4 linked regions of the Arabidopsis thaliana genome follow. The protein of the gene in region 2 binds, or shares a complex with, the protein of the main gene of each other region. Each region holds a gene or a part of one and is shown on either strand. Other genes may lie near its edges. The genes, in order: COP8, FUS5, CSN6A and CSN6B. A codon is read from its position in the direction of its gene.

Region 1 (5,787 bases), on a different chromosome or scaffold from region 2:
ATTTGAGTATTTCTTTTTATTTTTTATTTTTTTTTTGTTGGTCACATTGAATATTATTGCCTTTGGTAGTTCAGTCCTATATTTTATTTGAGAAACAAAATCAGAAAAGAATCTATAATTTGAAGCAACTTTCATATTGTAATTTGGTATTCCTATATTTTATTTGAGAAACAATATCAGAAAAGATCAAAAGAATCTATAATTTGTAGCAACTTTAAATATTGTAATAGGAAATCTTTTAAAATTTATCAATATGAAATTTGTTAATTTATAATAGGTCTTGAGATTTGATCATGTGACTTCTAAACACAAGTTATTGGGCTTTTGTTTAAGTAAAGCCCATGTGTCAAAGAAATGGATTGTTTTCCTAGTTAGTGAAATAATCTTATACACACAATTTAAAAACAATAGAGAAAATTAATGTTGAAATGAGCAGATTAATGTGGGGTTGTACATATCAAGGTGGAACTATCACAAGGAAGAACAAAGAGATATCTTGAGGTAACTACCCAAAGAAAGAGCAATGAAACCCTACCATGACAATTTGTCCAGACTATAACGAGTTAAATCATTATCATGAATTCCATACCATGGCAATTTGTTTTCTTTCAATGGGATGTCTACCATTCCAAAAAAGTTTTGCCATCAACAACCGCATCTGTTCTTTTGAGTAAATGTAATTTTGGTAAACTATGTAGTCTATAATCATTAGTTACAATATGGATCTGTAAAGTTGATTCAAAAACAATTGTGATGTTCTCGAACGGGATCACCATAAACTTCATCAAAAAAAATCCTTTAAGCGAGAGAAACTCGTGATTTTTCGAGACAACGATTGTGTCTATGAGTCTATCGTCCAACCTCATCCAATACCAATATGTTCAGTTATATCTAAGTTGTAAAGCACATAAAATCGATTTGTCAGTCAGCTCACATGTTTAAACCAAAGTCGTATTCCAATGCGAGACTTGGTTTCCTAGTCTGAGATAGGTAAATTTCTTTATATACTACCCTCTATGTAACGAGAGAGTGGTTCTTTTTTCACTTTTAATTCATGAGAGCACTTTCAAAACATTTTGCATGTCATTGCTCTCAAGATTTGGGCTCACAACTTTTCCGATGACTTCTCGGTCATATCTTGACCATTCGATCAATTTTTCGATTGCTTCTAGTCGATTCTTTCTCAACAAATAATTATTTACGTTTCCATCTTAAATTGCTCCCTAAGCTCTAAAACACATAACATATCATCTTTTTCCGATCTGGTATCATAATATTAAACGTGGTATTGTCATCATAAAATACCTCATCATCGTGTTTTCCAAATCACGACGTGTTTTTTTATTTGTGTAAAAGATTTACTGTAGTAATTTAGGCTCACATATAAAAATATTTCTAAACAATATATTATTTGTTGATTTTTTTTTTTAATCTACAATCAATTTGGTAAACTTACCATCACAAATTAATTATAAAATTTATGAACTAACAAAAAAAAATATAGTATTTATGCTTAATATATATATATATATATTTTAATTTATTTTGGGTACTAATCTCATATGAGTTGTGACCATATTAAGTAAATTTTGTAAAGCGCCTCTCCGATCACCGGCACAGAATCTAGTCCCCGTTTATTTTTTTAATATAAAAAGAGAGCAAACTCCAAAAAAAAAAAAAAAAAAAGCGAGAGAGAAATCAAAACCTTGTAAGGTTTCTTAGGGTTTCAATCGAAGCGGGAGAGAAAATCTCAGAAGAGAAGCCATGGATGAAGCTTTGACGAACGCTTCTGCAATCGGTGACCAACGCCAGAAAATCGAACAGTACAAACTCATCCTCTCCTCTGTTCTCTCTTCCAACGATCTTCTCCAAGCTCAGAGATTCATCGATCACAGTAATTTCGCATCTCCCTTCTTTCTCATGGTTTCAACTTCATAAGAGATTCGACAACTGCTTTTTGTTCTTATGGAATTCGGTTTATATCAGAATTTCTGGTTTGATTTTGATTTTTGCTTCCTCACAATTTTTCCAGTTCTTTCCGATGATGTCCCGTTGGTGGTTTCGAGGCAGCTTTTGCAGTCTTTCGCACAAGAGCTTGGGAGATTAGAACCGGAGACGCAGAAGGAGATTGCTCAATTTACTCTTACCCAGATTCAGCCTAGAGTTGTTTCCTTTGAGGAACAGGTTTGTTTTCTCTTCGTGATACCTTACTGTTTAGCAGCAATCGTGTACTTTTTAAACCCTAATTAGTTTACCTACTTAACATAAGTTGAGAGGTATGTAGAGTCGCTTTGCTATTGTACCGCTTTGGTATGTGAAATCTACACTGAAAGCTAATTTGAGATATTTGTTTACTAAGGATGCTGTATTTTGGGATAACTGAGACAATGTACGTTGTGTTGTTTTTCAATCTCTTTATTCTAAGAGATGAAACTGTTTGTGGTGTATTTGCAGGCACTTGTTATCAGAGAAAAACTTGCGGGTTTGTATGAATCAGAGCAGGAATGGTCAAAAGCAGCACAGATGTTGAGTGGAATTGATCTGGATTCTGGAATGAGGTGTGTGGCATTGAGCAGAATTTTGTTTTAGTTTCCTCTCTATGTTCTTTTGTGTTGCTTATTTTGGATTTGCGGAATTCTTTATTAGGGCCGTTGACGACAACTTCAAGCTTTCAAAGTGTATCCAAATTGCTCGTTTGTATCTCGAGGTTTGTCTTTCCCTTTCATGTACATATGCACAATAGATTCTGTGTCCTTTTCATTAATTTTTAAGCATGTAAATCGGTTATCTCTGTTTATGAGATGAATTTACGCATCGCAGTAATGATTTATAGCTAGTTTGTCTTGTTTCCTTCTGTGGGTGCGTGTCAATCAGTTACAGAAGTTAGATCTTAAAAGCACAAAAGAAACCCGTTGTTGAATGTTGATTCAATCTTCAAATATTTGGACATTTTTCTAGAGAGATTTTATTTAAAGTTAAGTCTCTTGACCAAATCTAAGTGTCATGAAATTAGGAATATCGACTGTTAAGAGCATTATTCTGCTTCACTACATCACTTTTTTATTTATTGCTTGTGAGAGTAAATTGAGGCTAGCAGAGTTGTATAAATACATTTAGTTAAATTTTTATTGTTCTCTAATACTTTTGTGTTTTGAAATTTTCAGGATGATGATGCTGTAAATGCAGAGGCTTTTATAAATAAAGCTTCTTTCTTAGTGAGCAATAGTCAGAATGAAGTTTTGAATTTGCAGTACAAGGTTGGACCACCTTAAAGTAAACTAAGAATTTATGTGCTGGGTGATTAAGGAGCATTCGTTTTCAAGTTTTAATATATTTCTGTTTCAGGTCTGCTATGCTAGAATTTTGGACATGAAAAGAAAGTTTTTAGAGGCTGCACTTCGGTATTACGGCATATCTCAGATTGAGCAACGCCAAATAGGGGATGAGTAAGTGAACTGACTTATCTTTCTGCTACATCTTTTCTTCAAATTCTCCTCTGTTGGTTTCTTGTTCGGATGGAATAATGATTAATTAATCTTCTATCCATCTTTGGAGACTCTGTATTTAAAGCTAGTTTCCTACTTTTCCCCTCTCTGTGATTGAATAGTGTTCCTCTTTTCTCTCTCCAATACCTTTGTGATATCTCATATTCTGAAACGGTTATAATGTGTTTTCTAATCTTTTCAGAGAGATTGATGAGAATGCTTTAGAGCAGGCCCTATCAGCTGCTGTCACATGTACCATATTAGCTGGAGCTGGTCCTCAGCGTTCTCGTGTTCTTGCAACTTTATACAAAGTAATTCCCTTTTGGATTACAAATAGAATACTTTCCTGCTTGCTTATTTATTGTTTTTTATTTCTCAATATCTTTCTATTAACAGGATGAGCGTTGCTCCAAGCTGAAGATTTATCCTATCCTGCAGAAGGTTCTATCTCTTATTACCTACAACTGTTTCCTCTAGTAGACAAACATACATTTTCATGCTATTGGACATATAGTATTGTTTGAACTCACATATTACTCTTGTTTAAGCCGGCATGATGTTTATTAGATTTGATTCATTATCAAATCAAACAAGTTCACCATAGCTTATAGAGGCTTGGTTAGAAATGCATGGTAACTTTTTGTTTTTTAATGCAACTTTATAGGTGTATCTGGAAAGGATTTTAAGGAGACCAGAGATTGATGCCTTTTCAGAAGAACTAAGGCCACATCAGGTATGGACTGTGAATTAAGATTTAGATGTAGTTTTTGGATAACATCTGAGTTGGTAAGTAGGTTCATAACAAGTTATTACACTGTTGATTTCAACAGAAAGCATCTTTGCCTGACAAATCCACTGTTCTTGACCGTGCTATGATTGAGCATAACCTTCTTAGTGCAAGCAAACTCTACACAAACATAAGGTATGAGATGTCGAATTAGTATCTTCTTTGTGTGTCTAGACTTGTTTGATTTTCTCAACTATTTTATATCCTAGGTTTGATGAATTGGGAACTCTGTTGGCGATTGATCCAAGAAAAGCGGAGAAGATAGCAGCTAATATGATTGGGCAAGACCGAATGAGGGGTTCCATAGATCAGGTAAGCAATAAAAAATACTTTGTTGGTTGAGCTATGTAAGAGCCCTGAAGAGAATTCTCGTTAGTGTTGATTTTCTAGAAGGAGGTTCCTAGACGTGTTTTAATATTTTATGTTACTGTTCAGGAGGAGGCTGTGATTCATTTTGAGGATGACGTGGAGGAACTACAACAATGGGATCAACAGGTTTTCTATCTCTCCCTCCCACTCTTTGTCTCTTTAGAGCAACTATATATGATTGTTTGTTTTATTGGCGTGGAATATGACTGAAAAGTGGAATCTGTGCAGATATCGGGATTATGCCAAGCTCTCAATGACATTCTGGATGGGATGGCCAAGAAAGGCATGTCTGTTCCTGTCTGATTGACTCCCAAGCCGTGAGATCGCCTCATGATGATTAATTTGTATTAGCCGAGCAACGGATCGAGTCTCATGCCAAAGTTTTTGCCAAATTGCTGTGTTTTGGGGACAGTCATTTTCACCTTATTTACTTTCTTGCAAATTCATGTCTATGTCTTTAGGTTAATTGATTCAGAGAGGAAAAGATTAGGCATTGAATGAGGATTTTTAAGAAAGTTGAAAAGAGGTTCAGGGTACATTTTTACCTCAGAACAAATTATTTTATGCATAGATGAACCTTTCTTGTGCAAGAGAATGATGAAACTAGTAGTTTTTTTTTTTTTTTTGGCTCAACAACAACTTCTCATTTACCAAACGGTGATTACACAGAGTCTGAATACACACAATCTTTTATCCAAGCCGGCACCTTTAGAATACATTTTAGGATCATAATTCAATAAAGAAAGAGATTCCCTAGCAATTCTATCTGCCACACTGTTTCCTTCACGCTTTATATGCATCACCTTCACCTCCTCAAATTGTTGGAATATATGTCTAATGTCCTGAATTCTTGGGGCCAAATTTGGATAATCAGTATCATCCCCTAACAGAGACACTAGATGTTGGGAATCTGATTCAAAGATGACTTTCTTATAGTTAAATCTTGACATTGAAAGAGCTGCCCATCTCATAGCTTCAAGTTCCACTTCCAACACTGTCTGAACTCTCGGGATTGCACGAAGTCCCAGCCACAACATTTTCCCCTCATGATTTCTCAGATGAAACTAGTAGTTACATATAACATTTTCCCATTCGTTGTTTAATTTTTATTCTTGAACGATCAAAACTTATGCGAATTTAAGAAAT
Region 2 (4,872 bases):
CAGAAATTATACATGAAAGTTAGCCCTGCTTTAATCATAATATTCTAACTGCAAAACGAACCTGCCATCCATTATCAAGAAACAATCTCTCCTTTGCAAGTAAAGTTGGTGATGCATCAATGCTTAAGAGTGCACATCCCCGACTCTGAAGAACAGAAACACCGTTAAGCTTTCAGAACAAGTTTAAATGAAGGTAATTGATCAGTACAACATGAACCCATGTGGCAATACTAGAATATTTTAGTGTCATACTAGTATCCATATTTTGACAAAAATCTCAAAAAAGCTTTACTAATGAAGATGTCGCTGTAACTAGAGTAGTAGAGTACACGTTCTTACCTCCAAATTTCTAATCATTTGATGCCCAAATGCATCATCTGGATGGATCTGCAAACAGAAACCCAACGGGTTAGACACATAAGCAATAAGATTCGTATCTGCAATATTATGCAGACAAGGAAAATCACAGTTGAGCTAACCTGCTCATATAAGAAAAATACTGCAGTTGAAAACGTTTTTGACGACCAATTGACGATGGCACGGCTTGAATCGGGGTCCAGATAAATCAAAACACATTCTGCAATAATAAACGTCGGCAGACTGATAATGATATTAGGGATCAAGTAGGTCTATCACCAGTAAGTATCTGTTACCATATATCTTAAACCCGGGTAGAAGAAGAGGGTTGAAGGTTCAAGATAACAGTGTGTAAAATAAATAAAAATTATTCATGGATACCTTAGATCCATATCTGCAAAGGATATAACATCTCTTAATTTTGGTATATCGCGCAGGTCAACTGGAAGTAACTTGTAATGATCACTGAGAACTTGTCCTTCGTCTGTAGAGATAAACAGCCCAACGAGTTAAGAGTAAGCAACTGAAACTAGACGCTAACGGTACAAAGTAAAAGGGGGTGGTTGAGTTAGTAGCTAGTAGAAGCGGAATGAAGAAAAATATGAGTGCACAAGCTGAAATGCATCATAATGAAAAGGATCATTCTACATAATAATACATGGGGGGAAAAAAGGCTCTTACCAATAGAAATAGATGCATTGGCTCCTAGTTTGTCCCTGAGTTGGCTGGAGTTTTGTATAACAGCAGCCTTCTTGCTAGTCACCTAACGTAAGAAGCAAATCCATTTAGGCATTAGACTCAAAACACATGATGGATACTTTTGTCAGCACGCTCATCCAGTAGTACCTCCTTAAAATCAAGTTCCACATAGAGATTGGGCCCATTCCCCTCATCCTACAAAATGAGAAGAGAAGAAGCGAGAGATCCCTGGAATAAGCCGAAGAATGGTGAATTTGGTAAAAGCTAACAAAAAGGAGAAGAAAAAGAAGACGCACCAGCAACTGAAAATAGGTAGTATCAAAGCCAGCTCCGAGAGACAGTATCTGTTTCTTAGAACTTGTCCCGCTTAGAAGAAACTGAGACATAAGCTTTCGGAAGGCAGCCCAACGGGAAAAGTAACCTCGATTAATGATGGGAGATCTTCGAACAGGTCTTTTCACAAAGAGATGAACATAGTCGTCTTTCATATATCCCTTTTTGACACAAGACCTTTAAAAATATTATCTAGGCTCAAAGATCCACAACAACAACAAAAAAAAAAGAAGAGCCCTAATTAAAGAAGAGAGAAAGAGGTAGGCGTACAATTTACTGGCGGATGCATCGTCGTTAGTAGCCTGAACCGCCGCTCTGTTGCTGCGAGATTCCGCCATCGTCGTCGCTCTCTCAGCCAAAATGAAGGAAGAAGAATATTCAATAGTCTCTCTCTTCCCCGGGATTGTTTGGGCTCACCAGACGCGGTTTCTAATATTTCTCTTAGTAGGCCTTGGCCCAGAAACTACGAAATTTGAGCCCAATTATTAAACAAGATTCTAGAAGAATTCGGTCGGTCACATAAAAAAAACAGTAATATAAAAACGGAAGAAGGAAGGAGCAGAGAGAAGAAGTTTGGGATTTTATTCGTTATTAGTGTGGTAAGAAAGAAAACCCTAAACCACCGGAAATCGATTTGTTTGGAAGATGGATATCGAGCAGAAGCAAGCCGAGATCATTGATCAGCTCGTGAAGCGAGCTTCTACTTGCAAATCCGAGGCTCTGGGCCCGCTCATCATCGAAGCCACATCGCATCCTTCTCTCTTCGCCTTCTCCGAGATTTTGGCTCTACCCAATGTTGCCCAGGTACTACTACTTTATGCTTTTCACGATCTAGGGTTTTACATGCTTTTGTTCTTCGCTGATCATAACAACTTGATAGATACTAGTAGCTGATTAATCGTAATTGTGCAGCTTGAAGGAACCACAGATTCTGTGTACCTGGATCTACTACGCTTGTTTGCCCATGGCACCTGGGGAGACTACAAATGTATGACCCCTTTGTCATATGCTATTTCAATTCGTTTTCCCTTTTGTCATATTCTCTCCTCTTGACTTGCTTTCATCGAAACACTAGGCAATGCCACCCGTCTTCCGCACTTGTCCCCTGACCAAATTCTTAAGCTTAAGCAGCTCACTGTCCTCACCCTTGCTGAGTCTAACAAGGTATATTTGTCTTAGGTTCATGATTTGCTCCTGCTATCTACTCTGTTCCATTATCTTTTTCCCCTGCTGTTTGCCTAACTGAATGTCTCTCTCACTCTGCTTGTTATAGGTATTGCCCTATGATACACTAATGGTCGAGTTAGATGTTTCCAATGTTCGCGAACTCGAGGACTTTCTTATCAATGAATGCATGTATGCGGTGAGTACTCTTTAGCAGTCTTCTAATCTCTATTTGACAACTAACTGTGACAACGCATGGTGCTCATTTTTTTTCTTTTACACTTTGCAGGGTATAGTTAGGGGAAAACTGGATCAGTTAAAAAGATGTTTTGAGGTGTGTTTTGGTTTGGGCCTCCTTTTCCTATTTTAACCATTGTGCTTTGTTTCTAAACGTACGAGCCCCCCCTTCTAAACATCATATATCTCTTGCAACCATGCAGGTTCCGTTTGCAGCTGGTAGGGATCTAAGGCCAGGTCAACTAGGGAATATGTTACACACATTGTCCAACTGGTAGTTTTCTTCTTCCCTTAGATCCAGGATTTTTTGCCTTCTATATCTAATTATAAGAACTTGTACGTGATGTTAGAATACATGGCTAATGACGTCCTACTCTTTTATGTGTTGGCCCAAATTGATGTCTAGGTTGAACACGTCAGAGAATCTGCTCATTTCAATTCAAGACAAGATCAAATGGGCGGACAATATGAGTGAGATGGACAAAAAACATCGTAAGGAAGCAGAAGAAGGGGTGGAAGAAGTGAAGAAGTCTCTGTCCATGAAGGTCAGTCGCGCTTGGAGTCCTATTGGCTTCACTTTTCCCTACTAAGTATATTATGTAACTAATATTGGTTACATTCTTTCTTGGTTACTGTCTTGTGACCATGAGTTAGAGTCCAGTCAGCTATTCTGTCTTATATTTCTTCAGAGAATTGTAGTGGGTTTCTTCTTATTAATAGCTTAGGTCTATGTAAGCGGGGATGGGAGAGACTTGATAAAAAAATCTTTCTAGGTCTTTGAGCTTTCCAAGTCCAGTCCTATCATAGATTAAAAAGTTATGTTTCTTAATAACAAACGAATCGATCAGCCAACTGTGGCGGGCTTTTTTAACCGTTCTTTCGTGGAACAAGAAATCTTACATGTTGGATGTAAACATATATTATGAAGTTTTCTTTAATTAAAAACAAACAAGGAACGCAATCACAACGGCTGTTAGTGAAGTGTTAAAGTCATTAGAGGACATGAATTGTTTGGAATGGTAGTACTTGGTTATTGTCTGATTGTTAAATGAAATGAAACAAGGTTCGTTTGGTTTTTTGTGTCTGAAATATGATTGGGAAGGGTGGTGGTCGATATAGTCTTACTTACGTTGTGGGCAGGGGGATGTTGACATCAGAGGGAATAAGGAGATGTTTGGGGAACCAAGTGGAGTGATGGACTACGAAGAAGATGGGATCCGACCAAAGAGGTAACGAATATTAGATATGAGTGAGATGATAAGTACAAAGGAGATGATATAACATACACACATTCAACTTTGGAACGCAGGAGGAGGCATCCTGTAACAAGGTAGAGGAGCAAGAGAGAGCAAATGGTCAGTGCGGATTGACATTCCATTTACCGAGAGTAGATTATGATTATTTGGTTGCGGATTTTCAACTTGTATAAGATCCTCTGTTCTCTCTCACAATAACCCCTTGTTATGTTTGATTTCCCTCATTAGCAAATTTGGTGTCTCTCTGCCCATTAAAAGAAAAATGGCTTTGAATTTAGTATTCAGTAATCAATAGTCTTGACACTTGAGCAAAGCTAGGCGCTTGGATCATATGGAATGATACAGATATTCTCAGTGTTCCGTCTTTTGACCACTAGCCAGCGCCTTGGCCCCTCACATGTTGAAACCTGCTTAGTCTGCGACAGCTGCCTCTTAGGCGGGCATGAAAGTGTTGTTTATTACGTCATCGACTAGATCCCACCATCGGAATTCTGACCGAAACATGTTCCTGAGAACGTTATACAAAGTACTAGTAGTCTAGTACTATATGATGACAATCCCTGCCGATTTCTCACACTCCCTCAGCATAATCATAATCTCTTTCAGTGTTTATGGTCATGTTTTATGACCATGAAAACACAATCCCCGCCGATTTCTCAAACATGTTTTCACCTAACTAATTCTCAAACAGACCCTTAAGAGCAAGGATAAAGGAATAATAGTGTTTTTTTTTTTTGTAATTAGAAAACATGTTTGTGAATCTTGAAGTTAAATAAATAAACTAAGACTCCTAAAATCTCTCCTACTGTATGTATAATTGTTACAA
Region 3 (4,420 bases), on a different chromosome or scaffold from region 2:
AAAATTGCAAACCCATCAGCCATCACAGAGGCTAGATAATCAGAGTCAATACTACCATTGTAAAACCAAAACTTTCCACAACATTAACCTGAGCACCCGGTTGCAGAAGTGGCTGATCTAACTCAGAACCAGGAAGTGACCTTATCTGTTGGTCTTCAGAGTAAAATTGTGGCCGAGGACCTGACCGGTTTGCATTAGGTATCTCCTTGAGCCTTTCCTGCACAACAAATCACCAATCATCAACATTTCTTCAAATTCTCAGGAAATTTTAAACCTTTAAACAATTGTCAGCCAAATCACTTGACATAATCGAAGAACGTCTAAAACCCTAACACTACGGAAAGAAAAATCGAAACTTGGCAAGCAAATAACAAAACCCAACGAAAAATGAGATCTAATTCGACTTCTTAGTTCCAGGAGAACCAAGGAAAAGGCGAAGAATGGAATCAGGAGACTTCAAATGTCAACACTGTTTCGATCAAAAAGGAATCAGGAAGCTAACCTGGGTTTTGGAAGACGAACCAAGTAAAGCGTTGGTGAGAGCTCCGAGAGGATTAGAAGAAGAAGACGAACCAGGAACGGCACAAGCGGCTCCGCCGTTAACAAGGTCTCTCATCGCCATGTTTCCAACGGGTTTCTACTCCTCCGCCGCAATCACCGTCGTTGAATCTATCAGTATGGTTTCCTCCGTTGTCCGGAATTGATCATCAACCTCCCAAATCCTAATCTTTAGTTTGGCTCGTCTCGTGGCGGTGTTTTTTTTGTTTGTTGTGTTTGGTCACAGCTTCGTAAGAAATTATTAAATTTTTTGATAGTATTTTGGTAATTAATATTTATATATTATCCACACCACACACATTTTTAGGCTCACCAACACATTTTTGTTTAGTTATTTATTTTTGTGAAAAAACCGTTTTTTACAGTATCCGTAATTAAAAATGAATTGTTGTGAATATAGTTTTTTTTTATCTTTCTTTATCAAGATATGTTTTATCTTTTTGTCCGATTTGCTGCCACTTTTGAATTTTGTAGTTTCCTATTAGTGTTGAATTATATTTGCTTGATCATACCAAAGATAAATAAATTATATTGCTTGATTTTTGCTGGGTTTAGTTATATTTCTTGATTGATTGTGCAATGCGTTACAAACGAAGGTAGATTCTACTCTTGTACTCATATCACACATTTGGACGACCAACATGACTTCACTAATTTCATCAATAACTAAAAAAAAAAAAAAAATTCATCTACATCAACAATAGTTACAATATGCTAGGCATCTCTAGATTTTTTTTTCCTTTCATTAACTTGCAAGAATTTACACACTAGAAATCAAACATTTTGTGGAAAAAATTATAACCTTTAGTCTAACCACTGAACTATTGAACTTTCATATTGAAAAATTTGATGAATGTTGTCTGTTTTCAAATTTCTAGTACATTTTTTGTCAACTTCAGATATCTGATTTTATGAGTCTCAATCGTTTGGTTTATCTTATTTTCGTTTGTTAATTAATATAATTAGTTTCCAAAATGAAAAAATGTAATTGGAAAAACAAGTCATGAGGCCCAACCGCATATATAAGTCCTACGCTCGGCCCATACAGAAAAAACTAATATCCATATAGTTGACCCGGAAGACCCGATCTAGGATCCGAATCCACATTGATTTAAATAAAAAAAATCTTCATAAAAAAACTAAAAACCCAAAAACCAAAGAATTCATCAAAGGAGAGAGAGATCGACAATGGCACCTTCGTCATCAAGCGGTTTAACCTTCAAGCTACATCCTTTGGTAATCGTCAACATATCGGATCACTACACTAGGGTCAAAACTCAGCTCAATCCTCCTGCTTCAATCTGCGCAAGCGGCCATGGCTCAAACAACGGCGAAGCAATGTTCCAGCAAAACCCTAGGGTTTACGGATGTGTGATCGGTGTCCAGAGAGGTCGTACTGTTGAGATATTCAACAGTTTCGAGCTTTTATATGATCCTTCTACTCAAACCCTTGATAGATCTTTCCTCGAGAAGAAGCAAGAGCTCTGTAAGCTAAAGCTCACTCTTTTTATTCTCAACTATTGATGCAATCGTAAATTAAAGTTTGAACTTTTATCTGGTTTTATTGTTTATTAGATAAGAAGGTGTTCCCTGATTTCTATATTCTGGGATGGTACTCTACGGGAAGTGATGCTGAGGAATCTGATATGCATATCCATAAAGCTGTGAGTCCAATGCTCTCTCTAGTATTTTTGTATAATTGAGATTTGGTCTCTAAAAGTGTGGTTTTTGTGTCTGCTCTTGGTGACAGTTGATGGATATCAATGAATCTCCTGTTTATGTGCTTTTAAACCCTGCTATCAATCACACACAGAAGGATCTTCCAGTGACTATTTATGAAAGTGGTATGCTTCTTATAATGTCATATGGTTCTGTGGGTACATTCTGATATGTTAGCATGTTAGTATAGGTATATGCGTAGTTCAGAGTTTCTAGATATCTTCCCAAGTCTTTATCTTTATTGACTTCCAGATTTAGGTCAGATTGTTTTACAAGATCCTAACTTTTCTCTTTGTTTCATTGATTGATCTTCATTACTTGAAGAATTGCATGTCATTGATGGAATCCCGCAGCTAATTTTCGCTCATACAAGCTACACAATCGAGGTCTGTGCTTAAGTTTGATTCTGCAAATAATTTTTTTTTTTTTTGTCAAACATTCTGCAATTTAATCTATGTTATGAAAGTGTACATTGACTAAGATTTTGAGGTGTTATACAATGTAGACAGTTGAAGCTGAACGGATATCAGTTGATCATGTTGCACATCTTAAACCATCTGACGGAGGCTCAGCAGCAACCCAGTGTGAGCCTTATGTCACTAATACATATCATACTCCACTTCCTGAGTCTTACTGTTTTTGGCTGATTATTCGTTCATATGCAGTGGCTGCTCATCTTACTGGTATACATAGTGCCATCAAGATGCTTAATAGCAGAATCAGAGTGCTTTACCAAAATCTTGCTGCAATGCAGAAAGGTATATTCTGTTCTTTCCCAAGTTCCGATTCTTATCACCGTGGTTTCATGTTTACCAGTCCAGGATTCTAGCTGAAGATAGTCAAAGTTGTGTAAGTGTAATAATTTATCTGCCAACTCATTTATGTGTGTAGGTGATAAATCTTGTGACAACTCAGTTCTGAGACAAGTATCTAGCCTGCTAAGAAGATTGCCTGCCATGGAATCAGAGAGATTTCAAGATAATTTCTTGATGGTGAGTTAGTTAGATCTGCACTTGATTCTTTTCAGTGTAGCTTATTGTCTGAGATATTTCGCAACTTATGCTGGCATTTTTTCTTTTTGCAGGAGTACAACGACAAATTACTAATAACTTACCTAGCGATGATTACAAATTGTTCCAGGTTTGTACCTAATGCAACATTCTAAAGTATTTGAAAGCAAGTATATAGGCTAGCGAATGCTCTTTAACTAGTGGTTCTTTAGGAACTGTGAAAGATACGGTTTTCACCGGGCTGGTGGATTCTGTTATATCAGTTAATAATTTTGTTTGCTCAATCTGCAGCAACATGAACGAGATGGTCGACAAATTCAACACCGCATATGACAGAAACACTCGAAGAGGTGGAAGAACTGCATTCATGTAAAAGATCCTTTCCAGCGATTCTAGTTCTAAAGATCTTCTCTTGGTTCCTGAAACCATTTTTAACATTGCCTCTGTGAGAATCTATAACTCAGACGGCAAGACTTTATCCTCTTCATTGTTTCTATATCTATAAGAACATCTGCTTATCTATCAAAGCTCTTGTTTGATCTTGAACAAGTTTCTATTGTTAGTAAAAAGATTTTAAGGTTTGATTCTATCAGTCTCTCTAGTTACATCCACATCAGTCTCCAGTTAGCAATTGCAGTATTGCTACACAACACTCACTTTTTTCTTCTTTGTTGATTTCAATATAAGATAAAGAACCAGTAAAAAAGAAGACAAAACCAAGGAATGAACAATAAAACAGCCTTTACCTTCCCCAAAGTTTGAAACCAATAAATGAAAGAAGAAGAAGAAGCAGAAATTAAAAGTTATTATAAGGAGTGACCAAATGCAGAAGAAGAAGAAGAAGAGTAAATTTCAAATCTGAGGTAATCTACTCATGATCTGGTTATATACCGATTGTCCTGAATCTGAAACCGGTTCAACCTTTGGTTCCATCCCTCTCTGCATCATTGCTTCACTCATCCCAACCGGTTGTGTCATATACGGGTGAGGCAAACCCGGCATTTTCCCTTGACCATACGCTAAACCAGGCATTGAAAGATTAACCAAACCGGTTTGTCCTAAACCGAAGGAGAAACCAGAAGGAGGACCCAAATGTGGCTGAAAGCTAAAGGGACGGCTAAAAGGAGACTGAT
Region 4 (5,030 bases), on a different chromosome or scaffold from region 2:
TCTATGTTTTCAGGAGCTACTATAAATGCACAGCTAATGGATGTACCGTAACGAAGCATGTAGAGAGAGCCTCTGATGACTTCAAGAGCGTACTAACAACTTATATAGGCAAGCACACCCACGTTGTACCAGCAGCACGCAACAGCAGCCACGTCGGTGCAGGCAGTTCAGGGACTCTCCAAGGCAGTTTAGCGACTCAGACCCACAACCACAATGTGCACTATCCAATGCCACACAGTAGATCTGAGGGACTGGCCACAGCCAACTCATCTCTATTTGACTTCCAGTCACACCTGAGGCATCCTACAGGTTTCTCCGTTTACATAGGCCAATCTGAGCTTTCTGATCTTTCAATGCCTGGTCTAACTATTGGGCAAGAGAAGCTTACCAGCCTGCAGGCGCCTGACATTGGGGATCCAACTGGCCTAATGTTGCAGTTAGCAGCACAGCCGAAGGTGGAACCAGTGTCACCACAACAGGGACTTGATTTGTCAGCGAGCTCATTGATATGCAGAGAGATGTTGAGTAGATTACGACAGATATGAAACAAATCTCTTTGTTCACTGATTGCTCAAATTTTTGAATAAATGAAAAATTGAGAGAAGGTAAAAGCTGTTTTGTTTTTACAGTCTTGTCGCAAAATTTAGTTAGGCCTAAACTTAGCTTCTGTCTAGACAAAGCTTAAACAGAAGAAAAGCTTCCTAGCTGTTTGTTTGGTTCCGAAAAGTGAAATGCCTTAAAAGAGTTCTAAATTTTCACTTAGGGACCAGACCACCAAAAGAAAGAAAAGGTTTTTTTACATTGAAACTAATCTTTACATGAACGCAGTCCTACCACCTCTTCGGCTGTGTTTGTCGTATGCAGTGTTGAATTTGTCAACCACCTCGTTCATGTTGCTGCATTTTGGGGGGAAAAAGGAGAGTAAGAGATCAAATATACAAAGGATTCTTTCAGGACATTTCGTTGGAATGAAATTGACATATGGATTGGTCAAGGTGTAGCACAAGATTAGATTTTTTTTTTAAAAAGAAGCTTATATTCCCTTAGCTACTACAGGCTCAGTATCTTAATTATAACAAGGATAATTGAGCAAGGTCCTAGATTTAGTTCTTAATCTAAATAAAACAAACTATCTCAATGTCAGCCTCAACCAAGTACTGGTGATTTCATCTGTCTTGGTATCGTAAAACATTGCATTGTATCAAGCAAAAGATTTGCATGCATGTCCATCATTCTTTTATTCAAATAGTTAAATGGAATAGCGTGTCGAGCACATACCTGGTACAATTCGTGATCATTGCTAGGTAAGACATCAGCAATTTGTCGTTGTACTCCTGCAAAAGAAGAGAACATCATATTTATAAAGATATCATTCACAACAACAAGCTACATTAAGAATTTAAGAGATTCGAAGGCCACTTTATTTAACCAACATTGCTAGAAAAAGGTAAGGTACTACTTACCATCAAGAAATTTTCATTGAACTTCTCTGATTCTGCGGCAGGCAAACTTCTGAGCAGACTAGATACTTGTCTCAGAACTGAGTTCTCACAAGGTTTATCACCTAGATGCAGAATCACATAAGTCATTAGTACCACATTACTCTTGCTCAAAATCATCTTCTAACACCCTTTTAATTCTTTCTTCCCCGTAGGAAAACACATAGAAATATTCTAAGATCAAGGGACAGGTCACAAAAGCTTGATTAACAAATTGAAGAGGGACCGAGAGTGGGGACTTGAGCAAGAATATACCTTTCTGCATAGCGACAATATGCTGGTATAGCACTCTGATTCTGCTATTAAGCATCTTGATGGCACTATGTATTCCAGTAAGATGAGCAGCCACTGCACAAAATCGAGGAATCAACCTAAAATTCCATGCAGATGAAAAAGAAAGAACAGATTATGATAAATATGAAGTGATAATAAAGCTTACACTGAGTCGCAGCTGAGCCTCCATCAGATGGCTTAAGATGTGCAACATGATCAACAGATATTCTTTCAGCTTCAACTGTCTGCACGCGTTTACAATCATTGCAATGTTATTGAAAGTCCACTCTCATATCACATAGATAGATTACAGATCAAGTGGCCTAAACACATACCTCAATTGTGTAGCTGGTATGCACGAAAATCGACTGAGGAATTCCATCAATGACATGAAATTCTTCAAATTTTGAAAACAATCAAAAAGACAGGATTAGCAAGATTATAATCTATAAAACAATAAGACAATCAGTGATGCAAATAACCAATTTTTACCGCTTTCGTAGATAGTCACAGGAAGATCCTTCTGTGCATGATTGATAGCAGGATTTAAAAGAACATACACAGGAGATTCATTAATGTCCATCAGCTGTAGATGAAAACCTCAACAAATCAGTACAATGAGAATCCTAAATTCAATTAAATTTATATTAAACATTAAAGCTACACTACTCACAGCTTTGTGGATATGCATATCAGATTCGGTAGCGTCACTTCCCGTAGAATACCATCCCAATACGTAGAAGTCAGGGAACACCTTCTTATCTAAAAAATAACAAAACTCACAAATTAGCAAGAGTATCAAACAATCGACAACAAAAGTGAGCGAGTGTAAGTAAACTTACAGAGTTCTTGCTTCTTCTCGAGGAAGGATCTGTCGAGAGTATCAAGAGCAGGATCGAATATCAGCTCGAAACTGTTGAAGATCTCAACCGTACGACCTCTCTGGAGACCGATGACGCAGCCATAAACCCTAGGGTTTTGCAGTAACATCGCGTCGGCGTTGTTGGAGCCATTCCCGGTGGCGCAAGAAGCGGCGGGAGGATTAAGCTGAGTTTTAACCCTAGTGAAGTGATCGGATATGTTAAGCATCACCAGAGGATGTAGCTTGAACGTGAGACCGCTCGACGAAGAAGGCGCCATTGTTGTCGCTCTCGATTTTTTCCCGGCGCTTGTCGTTGTCCTCCTTTAGTCCCAAATTCTGAAATCGGATCTTAAACTCGGGTCATGAATCTTTATATAGTCTTGGCCTCTTGGGCTTTCCTTCTAAGTTTAGCCCATATATAACTTTCTTTTGTTAGAAAAATAATGGAAAAGATTATAGCATGTACTTAATTTTTTAGCGTTTTAGTATATATTTATAATTTGAATATAAATCTTTGAAAGAAATATCTATTTTTTTAATATGAAATTTCTTGTATTTTAATGAATTTGAAAAATAATTATGATTGGATTTTGAATCATTTACTTCTTTTTTTTTGGTTTGAGTATATAGAAATAACATAAAGATCATAATGAATTAATTTTATTTAATATTATTGGATATGTTTGTAAGTGTTACTATTAAAATTTTATTATGTGTGTAGTCTGTTTTAATTCTTCTTTTCGTAATATATATATATATATATATATATATTGATATTTTAAACTATTTTTAGTTTATATAACATATCTTTAAATATGTTTCCTATGTTGTAAGTAGTACCTATCAATATTTTACAGAATATTACAGTTTTGTATTCTGAATGCAATCTTTTAAATTAAATTTCATTTAAATTTCATAAAAATAGTTAAGGCTACATTTAAATCTGTATTATTGTTATTTCATTAATTAAAAATATAACTGTATATAGTTTATGAGAAATCCCACATTAAAAGTGGAAATAGAATATGAGTAATATACAGTATATAAACCAAATCTACTCATAAACAATTAGTTTTGAGTTTGGAACCATAAAACTTAATATAGTAAATTGATAAATATGTTATTTTAGATTCTATATATACCATATATAACTCCTAGTCTCCTATGATATATCTGTCATTACATCGTAAATTGCTTATCACTAGCCAGTAGCCACCAGCCGCAGCCTCTGCACCCTTACTCATATCATTAACACATTGCTGGCTTGCAAGGTACAATCTTTAGTTATGTCATTCAAGTCTTCATATTACGGTAGATTTTTCCAACCGTATTGTTCAAACAATTGTATCCGACAATATAATCATGCATGGGATCTCGTCAAACTCTAACGACATGCTTTTTGACTTATGATAACTTTTTTTCTTTTCTTCAGTCAATCTTATCAAGTCATCGTCTACGCTTTTTTCCACCATCGCCTTCACTTTGAAGAAGCGTGAGTGTAGGTAGTGCTATATACTTGTGGGAAATTTGGGAATATGCTCATTTACATTTTTACATGTATAGACATAAATCTTTAGGTTGGATATGTGACATATTATTTATGATTCTTTTTTCAATTTATATAAACTAGTAGACCACGATTTAGTTTTCTCACTGATTAGCAAATGATGGATTTGGTCCGTATTGAAAATAAAAGACATATATATATATATATGTGTGTTCCGTTTTCCTGAAATCAACTGCAAAAAGTTTTCAACAAACGATTAAGAAAAATGAAAGTGACACATTAACACGTTAGATAATGCATTAACAAAATATTCTTTCTTTTCTTTTTTCTTCATTCTTTTTACCTTCGTTTATAGGAGGGAAGAAAATGAACCAGAATTTTGTTGATATTGAAAAACCAATCCGAATAAAGAATCTACGAAATGACACTATACTAAACTCGTTCTATGGTAGAATGTCTTTGCACCCGATAGCAAAAGTTATTGTAGAAAACTATTTTATACCTAAACAATTCACAAACCTCGGAGAAATGATATTGTTGTATATTTAGAAATGTATATCAAAAGAAGAAAATAGTCTTTAGTGGACACTGACAGACAACGACTAGTTTTATATGTAACCATCAGTTCATCTTTCTAGATAAAACCAATGTTAAACGCAACTGCTAATCTCTTCTTCTTTTCTTTTGTCAACCACCAAGGCACCAACTGCTAATCTCTTTAGACTCTAGAGATAGCGAAATATCTTCATTATTTCATAATATACATAACAATTTTATTAATCCTTAATTCAAAATTGCTTGGAAAACACTGATGAAATTAAGCATCTACTAACAGAAAGTTTTGTAAATTTTCAAAAACTTTCTCCTAACGTTCCTCTCGGAAATTGGG

Evidence for each region.
Region 1: the proteins of FUS5 (region 2) and COP8 are in contact, whole or in part, in a cryo-EM structure (PDB 9IS6), measured with the Arabidopsis thaliana proteins. Residues at the interface, in NP_563645.1 of Arabidopsis thaliana: Met1 (codon at 2,035), Lys108 (codon at 2,551), Val124 (codon at 2,708), Arg125 (codon at 2,711), Glu128 (codon at 2,720), Asp129 (codon at 2,723), Ile132 (codon at 2,732), Asn133 (codon at 2,735), Met136 (codon at 2,744), Tyr137 (codon at 2,747), Lys144 (codon at 2,858), Leu145 (codon at 2,861), Asp146 (codon at 2,864), Gln147 (codon at 2,867), Leu148 (codon at 2,870), Pro155 (codon at 2,997); in NP_199111.1 of Arabidopsis thaliana: Glu269 (codon at 4,159), Arg270 (codon at 4,162), Ile271 (codon at 4,165), Arg273 (codon at 4,171), Ser310 (codon at 4,379), Lys313 (codon at 4,388), Leu314 (codon at 4,391), Tyr315 (codon at 4,394), Thr316 (codon at 4,397), Asn317 (codon at 4,400), Ile318 (codon at 4,403), Arg319 (codon at 4,406), Glu322 (codon at 4,489), Thr325 (codon at 4,498), Leu326 (codon at 4,501), Val357 (codon at 4,717), His359 (codon at 4,723), Gln373 (codon at 4,765), Asp383 (codon at 4,897).
Region 3: FUS5 (region 2) and CSN6A share a complex: the UniProt entries of both Arabidopsis thaliana proteins name them as parts of the CSN complex.
Region 4: the proteins of FUS5 (region 2) and CSN6B are in contact, whole or in part, in a cryo-EM structure (PDB 9IS6), measured with the Arabidopsis thaliana proteins. Residues at the interface, in NP_563645.1 of Arabidopsis thaliana: Glu4 (codon at 2,044), Gln7 (codon at 2,053), Ile11 (codon at 2,065), Ala41 (codon at 2,155), Ser43 (codon at 2,161), Glu44 (codon at 2,164), Ala104 (codon at 2,539), Glu105 (codon at 2,542), Asn107 (codon at 2,548), Lys108 (codon at 2,551), Val154 (codon at 2,994), Pro155 (codon at 2,997), Phe156 (codon at 3,000), Ala157 (codon at 3,003), Ala158 (codon at 3,006), Gly159 (codon at 3,009), Arg160 (codon at 3,012), Asp161 (codon at 3,015), Leu162 (codon at 3,018), Leu167 (codon at 3,033), Met170 (codon at 3,042), Leu171 (codon at 3,045), Thr173 (codon at 3,051), Leu174 (codon at 3,054), Ser175 (codon at 3,057), Trp177 (codon at 3,063), Leu178 (codon at 3,198), Ser181 (codon at 3,207), Glu182 (codon at 3,210), Leu185 (codon at 3,219); in NP_567746.1 of Arabidopsis thaliana: Leu208 (codon at 1,939), Ala209 (codon at 1,845), Leu212 (codon at 1,836), His216 (codon at 1,824), Ile219 (codon at 1,815), Asn223 (codon at 1,803), Ile226 (codon at 1,794), Arg227 (codon at 1,791), Tyr230 (codon at 1,782), Ile233 (codon at 1,773), Val234 (codon at 1,770), Gln237 (codon at 1,761), Asn245 (codon at 1,547), Ser246 (codon at 1,544), Leu248 (codon at 1,538), Arg249 (codon at 1,535), Gln250 (codon at 1,532), Val251 (codon at 1,529), Ser252 (codon at 1,526), Ser253 (codon at 1,523), Leu255 (codon at 1,517), Arg256 (codon at 1,514), Ser257 (codon at 1,511), Leu258 (codon at 1,508), Ala260 (codon at 1,502), Ala261 (codon at 1,499), Glu262 (codon at 1,496).

The regions. Positions count from the first base shown.
Region 1 is NC_003076.8:17,236,627-17,242,413, reverse strand, and holds COP8 (Proteasome component (PCI) domain protein), read left to right. Parts: upstream 1-1,597; 5' UTR 1,598-1,764; coding exon 1,765-1,894; intron 1,895-2,032; coding exon 2,033-2,184; intron 2,185-2,454; coding exon 2,455-2,558; intron 2,559-2,646; coding exon 2,647-2,707; intron 2,708-3,164; coding exon 3,165-3,257; intron 3,258-3,345; coding exon 3,346-3,446; intron 3,447-3,687; coding exon 3,688-3,796; intron 3,797-3,881; coding exon 3,882-3,926; intron 3,927-4,149; coding exon 4,150-4,218; intron 4,219-4,315; coding exon 4,316-4,407; intron 4,408-4,481; coding exon 4,482-4,584; intron 4,585-4,707; coding exon 4,708-4,767; intron 4,768-4,869; coding exon 4,870-4,944; 3' UTR 4,945-5,261; downstream 5,262-5,787. Other genes in the region: AT5G42965 (Polynucleotidyl transferase, ribonuclease H-like superfamily protein), read right to left, coding at 5,289-5,678. UniProt on the Arabidopsis thaliana protein: Component of the COP9 signalosome complex (CSN), a complex involved in various cellular and developmental processes such as photomorphogenesis and auxin and jasmonate responses.
Region 2 is NC_003070.9:386,731-391,602, reverse strand, and holds FUS5 (Proteasome component (PCI) domain protein), read left to right. Parts: upstream 1-1,794; 5' UTR 1,795-2,034; coding exon 2,035-2,193; intron 2,194-2,301; coding exon 2,302-2,377; intron 2,378-2,464; coding exon 2,465-2,553; intron 2,554-2,662; coding exon 2,663-2,752; intron 2,753-2,842; coding exon 2,843-2,887; intron 2,888-2,993; coding exon 2,994-3,064; intron 3,065-3,196; coding exon 3,197-3,335; coding exon of another isoform or gene 3,336-3,380; exon of another isoform or gene 3,381-3,930; coding exon 3,931-4,019; intron 4,020-4,099; coding exon 4,100-4,124; 3' UTR 4,125-4,326; downstream 4,327-4,872. Other genes in the region: SBI1 (Leucine carboxyl methyltransferase), read right to left, coding at 62-145, 340-387, 480-600, 739-841, 1,039-1,120, 1,204-1,251, 1,353-1,566, 1,660-1,727. UniProt on the Arabidopsis thaliana protein: Component of the COP9 signalosome complex (CSN), a complex involved in various cellular and developmental processes such as photomorphogenesis and auxin and jasmonate responses.
Region 3 is NC_003076.8:22,782,857-22,787,276, reverse strand, and holds CSN6A (COP9 signalosome subunit 6A), read left to right. Parts: upstream 1-1,671; 5' UTR 1,672-1,746; coding exon 1,747-2,044; intron 2,045-2,133; coding exon 2,134-2,222; intron 2,223-2,308; coding exon 2,309-2,402; intron 2,403-2,601; coding exon 2,602-2,663; intron 2,664-2,782; coding exon 2,783-2,861; intron 2,862-2,942; coding exon 2,943-3,035; intron 3,036-3,168; coding exon 3,169-3,269; intron 3,270-3,361; coding exon 3,362-3,417; intron 3,418-3,578; coding exon 3,579-3,660; 3' UTR 3,661-3,893; downstream 3,894-4,420. Other genes in the region: PEX5 (peroxin 5), read right to left, coding at 89-217, 503-622; WRKY2 (WRKY DNA-binding protein 2), read right to left, coding at 4,140-4,420. UniProt on the Arabidopsis thaliana protein: Component of the COP9 signalosome complex (CSN), a complex involved in various cellular and developmental processes such as photomorphogenesis and auxin and jasmonate responses.
Region 4 is NC_003075.7:13,353,111-13,358,140, reverse strand, and holds CSN6B (COP9 signalosome subunit 6B), read right to left. Parts: upstream 3,150-5,030; 5' UTR 2,913-3,149; coding exon 2,615-2,912; intron 2,535-2,614; coding exon 2,446-2,534; intron 2,359-2,445; coding exon 2,265-2,358; intron 2,170-2,264; coding exon 2,108-2,169; intron 2,018-2,107; coding exon 1,939-2,017; intron 1,848-1,938; coding exon 1,755-1,847; intron 1,565-1,754; coding exon 1,464-1,564; intron 1,335-1,463; coding exon 1,279-1,334; intron 897-1,278; coding exon 815-896; 3' UTR 546-814; downstream 1-545. Other genes in the region: WRKY34 (WRKY DNA-binding protein 34), read left to right, coding at 14-545. UniProt on the Arabidopsis thaliana protein: Component of the COP9 signalosome complex (CSN), a complex involved in various cellular and developmental processes such as photomorphogenesis and auxin and jasmonate responses.